2 linked regions of the Callithrix jacchus genome follow. The protein of the gene in region 1 interacts with the protein of each later gene in a biochemical or structural test. Links are inferred from orthologs where the notes say so. Each region holds a gene or a part of one and is shown on either strand. Other genes may lie near its edges.

Region 1 (5,116 bases):
ATCACGCCACTGCACTCCAGCCTGGGCAACAAGGAGACTCCATCTCAAAAAAAAAAAAAAGGAAAAGAAAAACACAAAAAGAGGCCTTCGGTAGCTCCAGTCATTTTCAGAAGGACCTCTCGGCCCAATCCAGGCCTCTTTTTCTCTTGTCCTCCCTGGCCTGCTTCGTTCGTCTGTTTGTCCTGGGGTTAAATGCTACTTTGTGTGCTGCGGGAGGCTTACCTTGTGGCACTTCGGTGTAGAGTGTGACCGTCTGCAGCTCTACCTGCAGGGGGAGTGGCTGGAGCCTGCCGGTCCAGGCCGACTACCCAGTGACCAGAAGTGCTGAGAACCGAGTCCGTGGGAACTCCACGCAGCTCGTGGCTTTTGAGATTGAAAGAGCGTCAACAGAAGCCTGGCATGGTGGAAACACACATGCGTGGACCTGCTTATTTCCGGTGACGGGAGGTTAAGGATTCAGGAAGAGGGACCTGGGGGTAACAAGGAAAGGCCTCAGGTCATCGGAGAGAGACATTACCGGTGGGCCTCTCGGCGTGCTCCCGTGCTTCCCGGAGCTCACTGGGCAGCAGGCCTGGCCTCGTCTCCCTTCTAGGTACCACCCCTTGGGCCCGGCGCAGTTTCCAGGTTTCCCTCAATTTACCTCCAGAATCCCGCGCTGGGAGCAGAAGCCCGCGGGCTCTCAGGAAGACCAGGATTTCAAATCCGGAGCGGGGGCGCCGGGCAGGGCCTTGGGGGCGGGGTCTGGGCGGGGCCTCGGGACGCGACCGGAGCGTGAGGGCGAGGGCGGGGGCGCGGGAGCGGGGTCAGGGCAGGGCGCTTGGGGACCGGCGCTTGGGGGGCGGGGGCGGGGGCGGGGGCGGGAGCGGGGTCAGGGCGGGGCGCTTGGGGACGGGCGCTTGGGGGGCGGGGGAGGGGCGCGGCGCGGGAGCGGGGGCGGGGCGGGGCGCTTGGGGACCGGCGCTTGGGGGGCGGGAGCGGGGTCAGGGCGGGGCGCTTGGGGACGGGCGCTTGGGGACCGGCGCTTGGGGGGCGGGGGCGGGAGCGGGGTCAGGGCGGGGCGCTTGGGGACGGGCGCTTGGGGGGCGGGGGCGGGGCGCGGCGCAGGAGCGGGGCCGGGGCGGGGCGCCGCCAGCTGGCGGGCAGGCGAGGCGGGCTGGCGGGAGCTCGGGGACGCGCCCCAGAGGCGGGAGCTCGGGGACGCGCCCCAGAGGCGGGAGCTCGGGGACGCGCCCCAGAGGCGGGAGCTCGGGGACGCGCGGGGCCGAGAGGGGCGGGCCGGGGGCGGGGCTGTCACTGGGGCTCACGACTCCGGGCAGCGGGCTGCGGAAGCCGAGCGGACGCGGAGCCCGGCGGGTGGCTGTTTCTGTTTGGCGGCTGTGGAAGGTTTGAGGACGTGGTGCGGTGAGTGCCGCCCTCGCCCCGGGCCGTCAGTCCTGCGCCTGCCCCCTGCGTCCTCCCCCTGCGTCCTCCCGGGGACCCGCCCGGCTCGGCAGCTGTGCCGGGAGACTGAGATGGGCACGGTCTGGGTGGCGGAGCCTCTGTTTTGCCACCTCACCCGGGGCGGAGGCGAGCACTGAAGCCCGCGGTGCCGGAGACCTGGCCCGGGGCGGGGGAAGCCAGGCAGCGGGAGGCCGGGCCGGGGATCCGAGGCAGCGGGAGGCCGGGCCGGGGATCCGAGGCAGCGGGAAGCGGGGCCGGGGAACCGAGCCGGGGCCGGGGATGCCAGGCAGCGGGAGGAACCGAGCGCGGGGCCGGGAGGTCGGGCACGAGACACCGAGCTCTGAGCGCAGGAGGCCTAGCGATTGGGCCAGGAGCCGGAGGCCGGGCCAGGCGGCAGGAGAAGGGACAGCGCTACCGCCGGCGGAGGAGTGGCCCGGGAGGCGGCGCTACGAGGGCCGGGGCGGCCGGGTGCGGACTGAGCTACTGGCCCCCGGGGCTCATCCTCCCAGTTTTGGACGAGGGTTCGGTCTCTGCTGCCTTCCATGCCTGGGGCCTGGATTATCCCGGGTTGACTGTGGTTTAGCTCTTCCATGGAGGTAGCTGCGGGGTTGAAACTCCAATTCCTTTTCGGCCCTGCGGAGTTTCGTGAGTGCTCGCAGCTCATACCTGTCGCTGTGTATCCTTGGCCACAGTCGGGTGGTGTCGCCTTGAAATCCCAGGCCGCGAGGAGTTAGCGAGCCCTGCTCATCCTCGGCCTTCTGGGTTTCAATGGGGGTGCTCTGCACCTGCCTCTTTCCCCCATTCTCAGTAAGTGGCACCCAAGCAGGAAGGTAGAAAACATCCTTCTCAGCCCCCTCTCGCCCACCTACTTCTTTCCCACTTAGTCACCAAGCCTTGTCGACCTTGTGAATGCCTGCCAGATCTGTCCACATCTCTCCATTTCTGATTTCAGCCTGACCTCCTTTGCAGGCGGGTCTGGAAGTGGGGAGACCAGGGAAGAGACCTTTGCAGTCTATTTATTTCAGCACAGGCTGAGGGATCTTAGTGAATGAAAGTCTAGAAAGCTCGTGCTTTGCCCTTAAGTTAAACCCAGCAGTTAACATGGCTAACAAACCCCGGCACGTGTTGCGAGCACCCTCCCCGCCTTATCTTTAGCACCGGTTCACTTTCTGCGCAGCAGTGCTGATCTTCATACCCAGCTCTACCTGCGACGCCTCTGCATTCCCTTTCTCCCTCCATCACGTTTGCTCGGAAGTAAGAGCTCCTACTTGGATTTCTGTTTTCATTAGACAGTTCAGGGTTAAATCTTTCTGTAACGTGTTCTTTCTGCAGCCAGCCTTTCCTAGGAGAGATGTGTCATATCCTTTGCAGTTGCTTGTTTACTGTCTTCCCTGCTGCATTTGTAAGCAAACGCCGAGGGACAGACTTGGTTTATCTGGGTGTGCCTTAGTGTCTTTCCCCAAATGTGGGGCATGGCACAGCACCGTGAATGCCCATCCATTTGTGTTTTTACTATTATGCCCTATCTAGAGAAAGTAGACCGGGTTTAGGATTGTTTAGCAAATTATAATTAGAAAAGAAATGGTAGAGGCGACATATGGAGTCGTTGTAACAGTGTAACCCTGCAGGATAGCAGAAGGAGGGCCAGGCAGGGTGCTTAGACCACACTCTATCAAAATGGGCTCAGCCACTGTGAATGTGCATGCTGTGGTGACATGATCTCCGCAAATGAAACGTAAAGCCTAAATCATCTCTATCACAGCCCGATGCTTGAACTCTGGTTTTGCTTTGCCTTTTTGCAAAAGAAGGTTTTTGAAAGTGGAAATGTTTTTTAATGAATGGACGAACAGTTTATTGGAGTATGGCAGTAAAACCTGTTCAAAGAAACGGACATTAGTTAGACATTGTACCTAGGTAAATCAGATTTGCTTTGCTATCCTGAAAAAAGGCCTTGCCTCTTGCCATTTGAAGAGACTGGCATCTGATAGAGGCAATTATAATGCTGCTTTACTGTAGTGCTTTCAAACCTAGTTTAGCACAATCTCCCACTGCTTCATACCCCTACAAAGCAGTCTTTATTGGTGTGGATGATATATTACATTGCTTCTCGTGCCTACTACTGGATCTTTAAGCTCTACCCCAAAAACAGGAAACACTGGTGTTCGGGCCCAAAAAACGATGTGGGAATTCTTAGATTTATGTGATGCTCTTTCTCTGCATGTTGCGTTCTTGCCTTCACATGTTGCCTGTAGAGCTTCTTTGCATTACAATAATGAGATAGAGCTACCTGATATGTAATTGGACACCATCTGGCATCTGCCTTGTTCAGTCACCTTTGAATACCAGCGAGCATTGGTATAAGCGCTGCAGACAAATGGGGTTTGTCTCTTCCACTGCTTGATATGCTCAGGGTCTAGTATAGTACTCTGCACACAGCTGGTGTTCAGTAAATTGTTATGGTCCAAATATCAAATGAATGAATGCTACTGAATCTGACTTTTGGCAGTTTCTATCTTCCAGACAGCAGGATTTATTTCTTCAAGTGGTTTTAAACCTGAATCTGATTCTGCAGGCTAGTGGTTCTTGGTGGGAGTGTTGAGGCTTTAAAGTTATCTATAATTTTTATAAAAAGGCATCCGAGATCCTCCGTTTACACTTATAATCATACAGATTATTCAGATCTGCGAAGGCTTTGCCATTTTCTCCTTTTGGCCATCCAAAAGGACTTCATTTGACAAAGGGAAGACAGATCTTTTGCATATAGTAAGTGCCATTCTTTCTGTCTGGTATCATAGGCTTTTAATAGTGGGGAGTGCTCTATACTGCCTTCCTGGTCACTTGGCCCATGCCAGAGAAAAGGAAAGGATGGTTTATTTGTTTGTATAGTACAGTGGAACTTATTTAGATTTATTCTGTATTTGATTTTGCGTTCCCGTTCTCATATCTTTACCTTAACTACACAATAAATATTAAAAGATTGGCTGCACCAGGCCCAATGACAATAGCCAGTTTGATAATTCTTATATGTACCAAAATGAATTCAGAGACCAGATGGGAAAAGATTTTGATAAAACCTCTGGTACATTACAACTGAAGTCTTTTCATGTCCAAACTGTTGTGAAACAGATGTTCTTTGTTTCATTTGCTAAATCTGGGAATATGACTGCTTTTGAGACTGTCCTCTCTGACAGGTGATAAATATAAGCCCGATATTTTTCAAGTTGTTTGACAAAAGTGTAGTTTCCCCAGAAGTCCTACTGGACAGGCTTCACTTTTCTTGTGGGGAAAAACAAGAGTTACAGGAAATATGTCTTAATGACTTATACTGAAAGCTGAACATAAAAACAGTAATTTAACTTTTATTATTTTTAGAGGCTCAAGTGCGGTGGTGCAATCATAGCTCACTGCAGCCTCCAACTCCTATGCTCAAGCGATCCTCTTGCCTCAGCCTCCTGAGTAGCTCGGACTACAGGTGTATACCACAATGCCAATCTACTTGTTTTTACTTTTTTGTAGAGATGGGGTCTCTCTGTGTTGCCCAGACTGGTCTCAAACACATGACCTCAAGCAGTCGTCCCACCTTTGCCTCCTGAAGTGCTGGGATTACAGGTGTGAGCCACTGTGTCTGGCCTATTTCACTTTAGAAGTAAATTGAATGCCACATGCAAGGTTTGTT
Region 2 (5,273 bases), on another chromosome or scaffold:
CCTGAAGTGTTAGGATTACATCTGTAAGTCACCACATCAATCCTGGTATATTTGCTTTTAAATCCACACTTACTTTATGCTTGCTATTTGCCTCAACTGTTCTATTGAGGATGAGGGAAAGTGTTTCTTTTCTTGGTTAGGCTAGCTAATGAACTATCAATTTTATCTTAAGTCTGTAATCCACCTTGAGTTGATTTGTATAAATAGAGATAGAGATACAGTTTCATTTTTCTACATGTGATTAGCAAGTTTTCCCAGCACCATTTCTTGAATTGCGGCACTGTTTACAATAGTAAAGACCTGGAACCAACCCAAATTTCCATCGATGATAGACTGGACAAGGAAAATGTGGCATATACACACCATGGAATACCATGTAGCAATAAAAAACGATGAGTTCGTATCCTTTGTAGGGACATGGATGAATCTGGAAACCATCATTCTCAGCAAACTGACAGAAGAACAGAAAATCAAACACCACATGTTCTCACTCATAGGTGGGTGTTGAACAATGAGAACACATGGACACAGGGAGGGGAGCATCACACACTGGGGTCTGTTGCGGAGGACTAGGGGAGAGGCAGCGGGGGGTAGGGAGGTTGGGGAAAGATAACATAGGGAGAAATGCCAGATATAGGTGACAGGGGGATGGAGGCAGCAAACCACATTGCCATGTATATACCTATGCAGCAATCCTGCATGATCTGCACATGTACCCCAGAACCTAAGGTACAATTAAAAAAAAAAAAAAAAGAACAACTAAGTCTCTCCATGTGGTTTGATTCATGTGATTTGTTTCCACCTTTCTAGAATTCCACCAACACTGCTCTACCAGCACTTGTCCAGAGGCTGATTGGAGCCAGTCCATCATGCAGCCATGAATATTTACTGGGCACCCACTACATGTCAGGCTCTAGGAAATAGAATATGACAGTATCTAGAGCCCTCCATTTACACCCTGGCCATTTGAAAGCAGCACTATCATAGACACCACAGGACTCATAAGGGTCTTAGAAACTCACTTGAAACAAAGCAAGTCAGGAGAGGAATGATCAGCAGCAAACTAACACAGGAACAGAAAACAGAACACTGCGTGTTCTCACTCACAAGTAGGAGTTGAACAACGAGAACACATGGACACAGGCAGGGGAACATCACAGACTGGGGCCTGTCAGGGGTGTGGGACTAGGGGAGGGAAAGCATTAGAGTAGTTTGTTTAGCAAATGTTTACTGTAAGCCTATTATGTGCTGAGCTTGATATGTAAGAAGTGTGGCTCTCTGGACAGGAGACAGAACACTAAAAATGACAACTACTAATCTTTGGCTGCCTGGCATGCTTCCTCATTTCACATGATATCAGCAGTTTAGCATCCCAAACATCCTTTAGAGAAGCAGCCCTTTCTCATTCTTGGTTTGAGTGGTTTGAGTGGACTGATCCCAGCCTATCCAAAGTGGATTCAACTCCTAGGACCATAGCAATTTGTTAATTTAGGCCCAAAAAATGTCAAGTACAAGAGTTCTGTTGAAAGCATTCAGAAAAGAGGTGGCCTCTCACACTAAACATTTCTACCTAAATAGTGGATGTTAGAAATCCCTTAGAAAGGAAGCTGCAACAATAAATGGGTCTAGTAGTTGGTGGCCATGCTTTGTTACTGCCTTGTGTATTGCTCTACCATAGCCCTCCCCAAACTATACTCTATCTCCTCTTTCTAAGGGAAAGAGACACATCTCCAACATGTTTTGTTCTAGCACAAGAGAAGGGCTCAAACACATACTCACTAAAGAAACTATCCTGATGGATTGGCCATGAAAGCATTGGTGGTTCTGTCACTGGAAACTCAGGTTTCTAGTGCTCTAGTATCTCTACTGGCTGTTACCACATCCTACAGTCCACCTCATGAGCTTGGGTTCCTGCTCTAGGCTGAATAGGTGATCCACTCTGAGTCATCAGCTGTGGGTGCTGATGTGGTCACTGCACGATTCTCACACAAGCCCCCAGAGGACGTCATCAGGCAGAGGCAGTGGGGGTGGGCAGCATTCATAGAAAACCTTCTGTGATCAGGCACCGCAAAACCAAAGAGGAACATGAAGTCACTGAGTCCACTCCACCTCCTTCCTCTCCCAAGAGCTAAAAGAGAGCAAGGAGGAAACAACAGCAGCTCCAACCAGGGCAGACTTCCTGAGATGATGCAACCAATCCTGCTCCTGCTGGCCTTCCTCCTGCTGCCCAGGGCAGATGCAGGTGAGTGACCTGGGGGCCCAACCCCATCCCACAGGTCCCCTGCCCTTTCTTCACATTCCTGATCCATCTATCTACCAGGAATATTCTGAACTCCAGCTCCCATCCTACCGAGACCCCCCAAGAGTGATGCTGGATAAACTATCAGCAGGAATGGCAGAGCAAAACACTGTTCTCGAGAAGAGCCAGTGGGTGCTATCCCCTCCTCAGAGCCCACCTTTGTCACCTGGAGAGTGGTACTTTCCTAGAAGTAAATGGCAGAGGACGAAATATTAAATTATTCTAGAGTGGGCCTGGCTTCTGTTTCTGAGATAAGACAGGTGCTTCTCTCACTGTCTTCTTAGGAGAGAAACCCAGAGCTCAGCTGCCTACAGAATTGGTGCAGTCACTGTCCTCAAAGCACTGTTAATGCGTTTGCTCAGTCCCATTCTCCAATTCTGCTTTTCTTCTCTGGTCTTTAGTGGCTCCCTTCTTTCTGAAGATGAGGCACTGTGGCAGGCCCCAACTTCCCTGCTTTCTAGAATTCCACCAGCACTGCTCTACCAGCCCTCATCCAGAGGCTAACTGGAGCCAGTCCATCATGCAGCCAGGAACATTTATTGGGCACCCAGCACATGTCAGGCTCTAGGAAATAGGATGTGACAGTATCTAGAGCCCTCCACTTAACACTCTGGCCGTTAGAAAGCAGCACTATCCTAGACACCACAAGACTCCTAAGGGTCTTGGAAACTCACTTGAAACAAAGCAAAGTCAGGAGAGGAATGATCAGGAGCCTCTGGAATTTCACTGTCCCTAAGACAGGTATGCTCGCATTCAACTACATATGGAAGAAAGATTTCAGACCAAAGCCTGCTATTCTTCCCTTTTTCAGAGCAGGAAATTGAAGCCCCTTCCTCCAGGCCCCTCCCAACTCCAGGCTATCCCAGGCTCCCAACTGCCCAGGAGTTCTGGAACCATCAAGCAGGAACTCACCCAGCAGACTGCATGGGTGCACACAAGCAGACAGACTTTTCCTTCAGGGGAGATCATCGGGGGACATGAGGCCAAGCCCCACTCCCACCCCTACATGGCCTATCTTGCAATCTGGGATCAGGAGTCTCTGAAGAGGTGTGGTGGCTTCCTGGTACGAGAGGACTTCGTGCTGACAGCTGCTCACTGTTGGGGAAGGTGAGGAGCAGAAAACAGCCCCATGCCCTCCTGGAAACACTTCACAGAGACCCATGCCTTCTTCTCAAGGAGCCCCCTGGGCTCCTGGGAGCACATATACCAGGAAGGCTCCTTAGAGGGTGAGAAAAGGGCAGGTAAGCTTGTGAGGAGAGGGGAAGGTCAGTTCCAGAGGCACTGCTGAAGTAAGAAAGAGCAGAGTGACCAAGCCTGCCATATATAGAACTGGGGCATACTTTGGCATAAGAATGCAATCTGAAGTAATTTCACTTGTGTCTCTAGGGGGAACCAACCCCTGAGAAACCTGGTGCAATTACCAGAATTCCAATTCCTGGAGGCCAACTGTCCCCTCAATTTCCCCTCAGCTGCAGCCCTGCCCTGCCCCAGCTGTCACCTGCTCTTACTGCTCCTGGGTTGTATCCCCTATGACTCCACCCCCATCCCCACTCTGCTTTCTGTGCAGTTCTATAAATGTCACCCTGGGGGCCCACAATATCAAGAAACAGGAGAGGACCCAGCAGAGCATGCCTGTGAGAAGAACCTTCTGCCACCCAGATTATAATCCTGAGAACTTCTCCAGTGACATTATGCTACTGCAGGTGAGGCACACTCCTGCCACTCTTGCTCTTCTTGGTACAGTTGGTTCCACTCCCACTGTGACACCAGCCTTCCCCTCCTTTCCATCCTGGCCTCTTGGTCAATTCCTGTGCCTCAGAGGAGAGGGAAGACGGCACTGTCCCATCACTGTGTCAGGGCCCAGAAGTTCATTGGCTGACCTGGACTTTCTTGCCTCTTCCCCAACAGCTGGAGAGAAAGGCCAAGAGGACCACAGCTGTACAGCCCCTCAGGCTACCCAGCAGCAAAGCCCAGGTGAAGCCAGGGCAGGTGTGCAGTGTGGCCGGCTGGGGACGGACAACCCCCATGGGAACATATTCACACACACTACAGGCGGTAAACCTGACGGTGCAGGAAGATCGAAAGTGTGAATCCTGCTTACGCAATTATTACGACAGTACAGTTGAGTTGTGTGTGGGGGACCCAGAGATTAAAAAGGCTTCCTTTAAGGTAAGACTACGTATCTGCCTGGATTGGCTCTGGGGAGAAAGATGTTTGGGGAAGATCTGAGACCTGGAGACCCAAGCAGTGGGGAACTCCTTCACCCACTAGACAGTGATCTTTCTCTCTGGAAAAAGAAAAGGGGAACAGACAGAGCTGGGGAGAAATTAGGGCCTCTGCAAACTTACCAGGAGGCTTATGGTGGTTGGTGCTCCTTTGGAAGGATGAATTTGCAACACCCCACCCACCACAGGTCACAGATATTAGGAAACTATGATCACTGGGGGTGCAATAATTACAATCAGGTATGTCTTCAGAGGCTGATACCCAACGTGGTTAATCAGCTGGTACTCCATGCTGGGTATCAGCCCTCCTTGCCTGCTTCAGCCAATTGTCCCACATACCTGGGATCTAGGGGAGATGACAGAGGCTGGCCCCTGGGATAAGGTGAAGCAATAACAATGTCCAGGGCCAGAATTTGGCACCTGGAGACCACCAGGAGCCTGCCCTGCCCTCTGGTCTCCCATGTACAGGCTGTGCAAGTTGGCCTTCACTAAGAGGGGGCTTGAGATGGCAGAAAGGGCAGGACCAAGAGAAGCATCAGCTCAATCCTTCCACTCTCTATTCACAGGGGGACTCCGGAGGCCCCCTTGTGTGTAACAAGGTGGCCCAGGGCATTGTCTCTCATGGACCACGCAATGGCAAGTCTCCACGGGCCTTCACCAAAGTCTCAAGCTTTGTACACTGGATAAAGAAAACCATGAGGCCGGGGACGATGGCTTACACCTGTAATCCCAGGACTTTGGGAGGCCGA

Evidence for each region.
Region 2: of the proteins of CASP3 (region 1) and GZMB, one has a biochemical effect on the other in vitro, tested with the Homo sapiens proteins (2 studies listed by BioGRID). The link is inferred for Callithrix jacchus from reciprocal best matches to the Homo sapiens genes CASP3 and GZMB.

What each region holds. Positions count from the first base shown.
Region 1 is NC_133504.1:6,739,862-6,744,977, forward strand, and holds the start of CASP3 (caspase-3), read left to right. Parts: upstream 1-1,654; 5' UTR 1,655-1,719; coding exon 1,720-1,908; intron 1,909-2,595; coding exon 2,596-2,694; intron 2,695-5,116. UniProt on the Homo sapiens protein: Thiol protease that acts as a major effector caspase involved in the execution phase of apoptosis. Following cleavage and activation by initiator caspases (CASP8, CASP9 and/or CASP10), mediates execution of apoptosis by catalyzing cleavage of many proteins.
Region 2 is NC_133509.1:58,857,380-58,862,652, reverse strand, and holds the start of GZMB (granzyme B precursor), read left to right. Parts: upstream 1-2,151; 5' UTR 2,152-2,187; coding exon 2,188-2,242; exon of another isoform or gene 2,243-3,062; coding exon of another isoform or gene 3,063-3,258; coding exon 3,259-3,406; intron 3,407-3,866; coding exon 3,867-4,002; intron 4,003-4,207; coding exon 4,208-4,468; intron 4,469-5,090; coding exon 5,091-5,273. UniProt on the Homo sapiens protein: Abundant protease in the cytosolic granules of cytotoxic T-cells and NK-cells which activates caspase-independent pyroptosis when delivered into the target cell through the immunological synapse. It cleaves after Asp.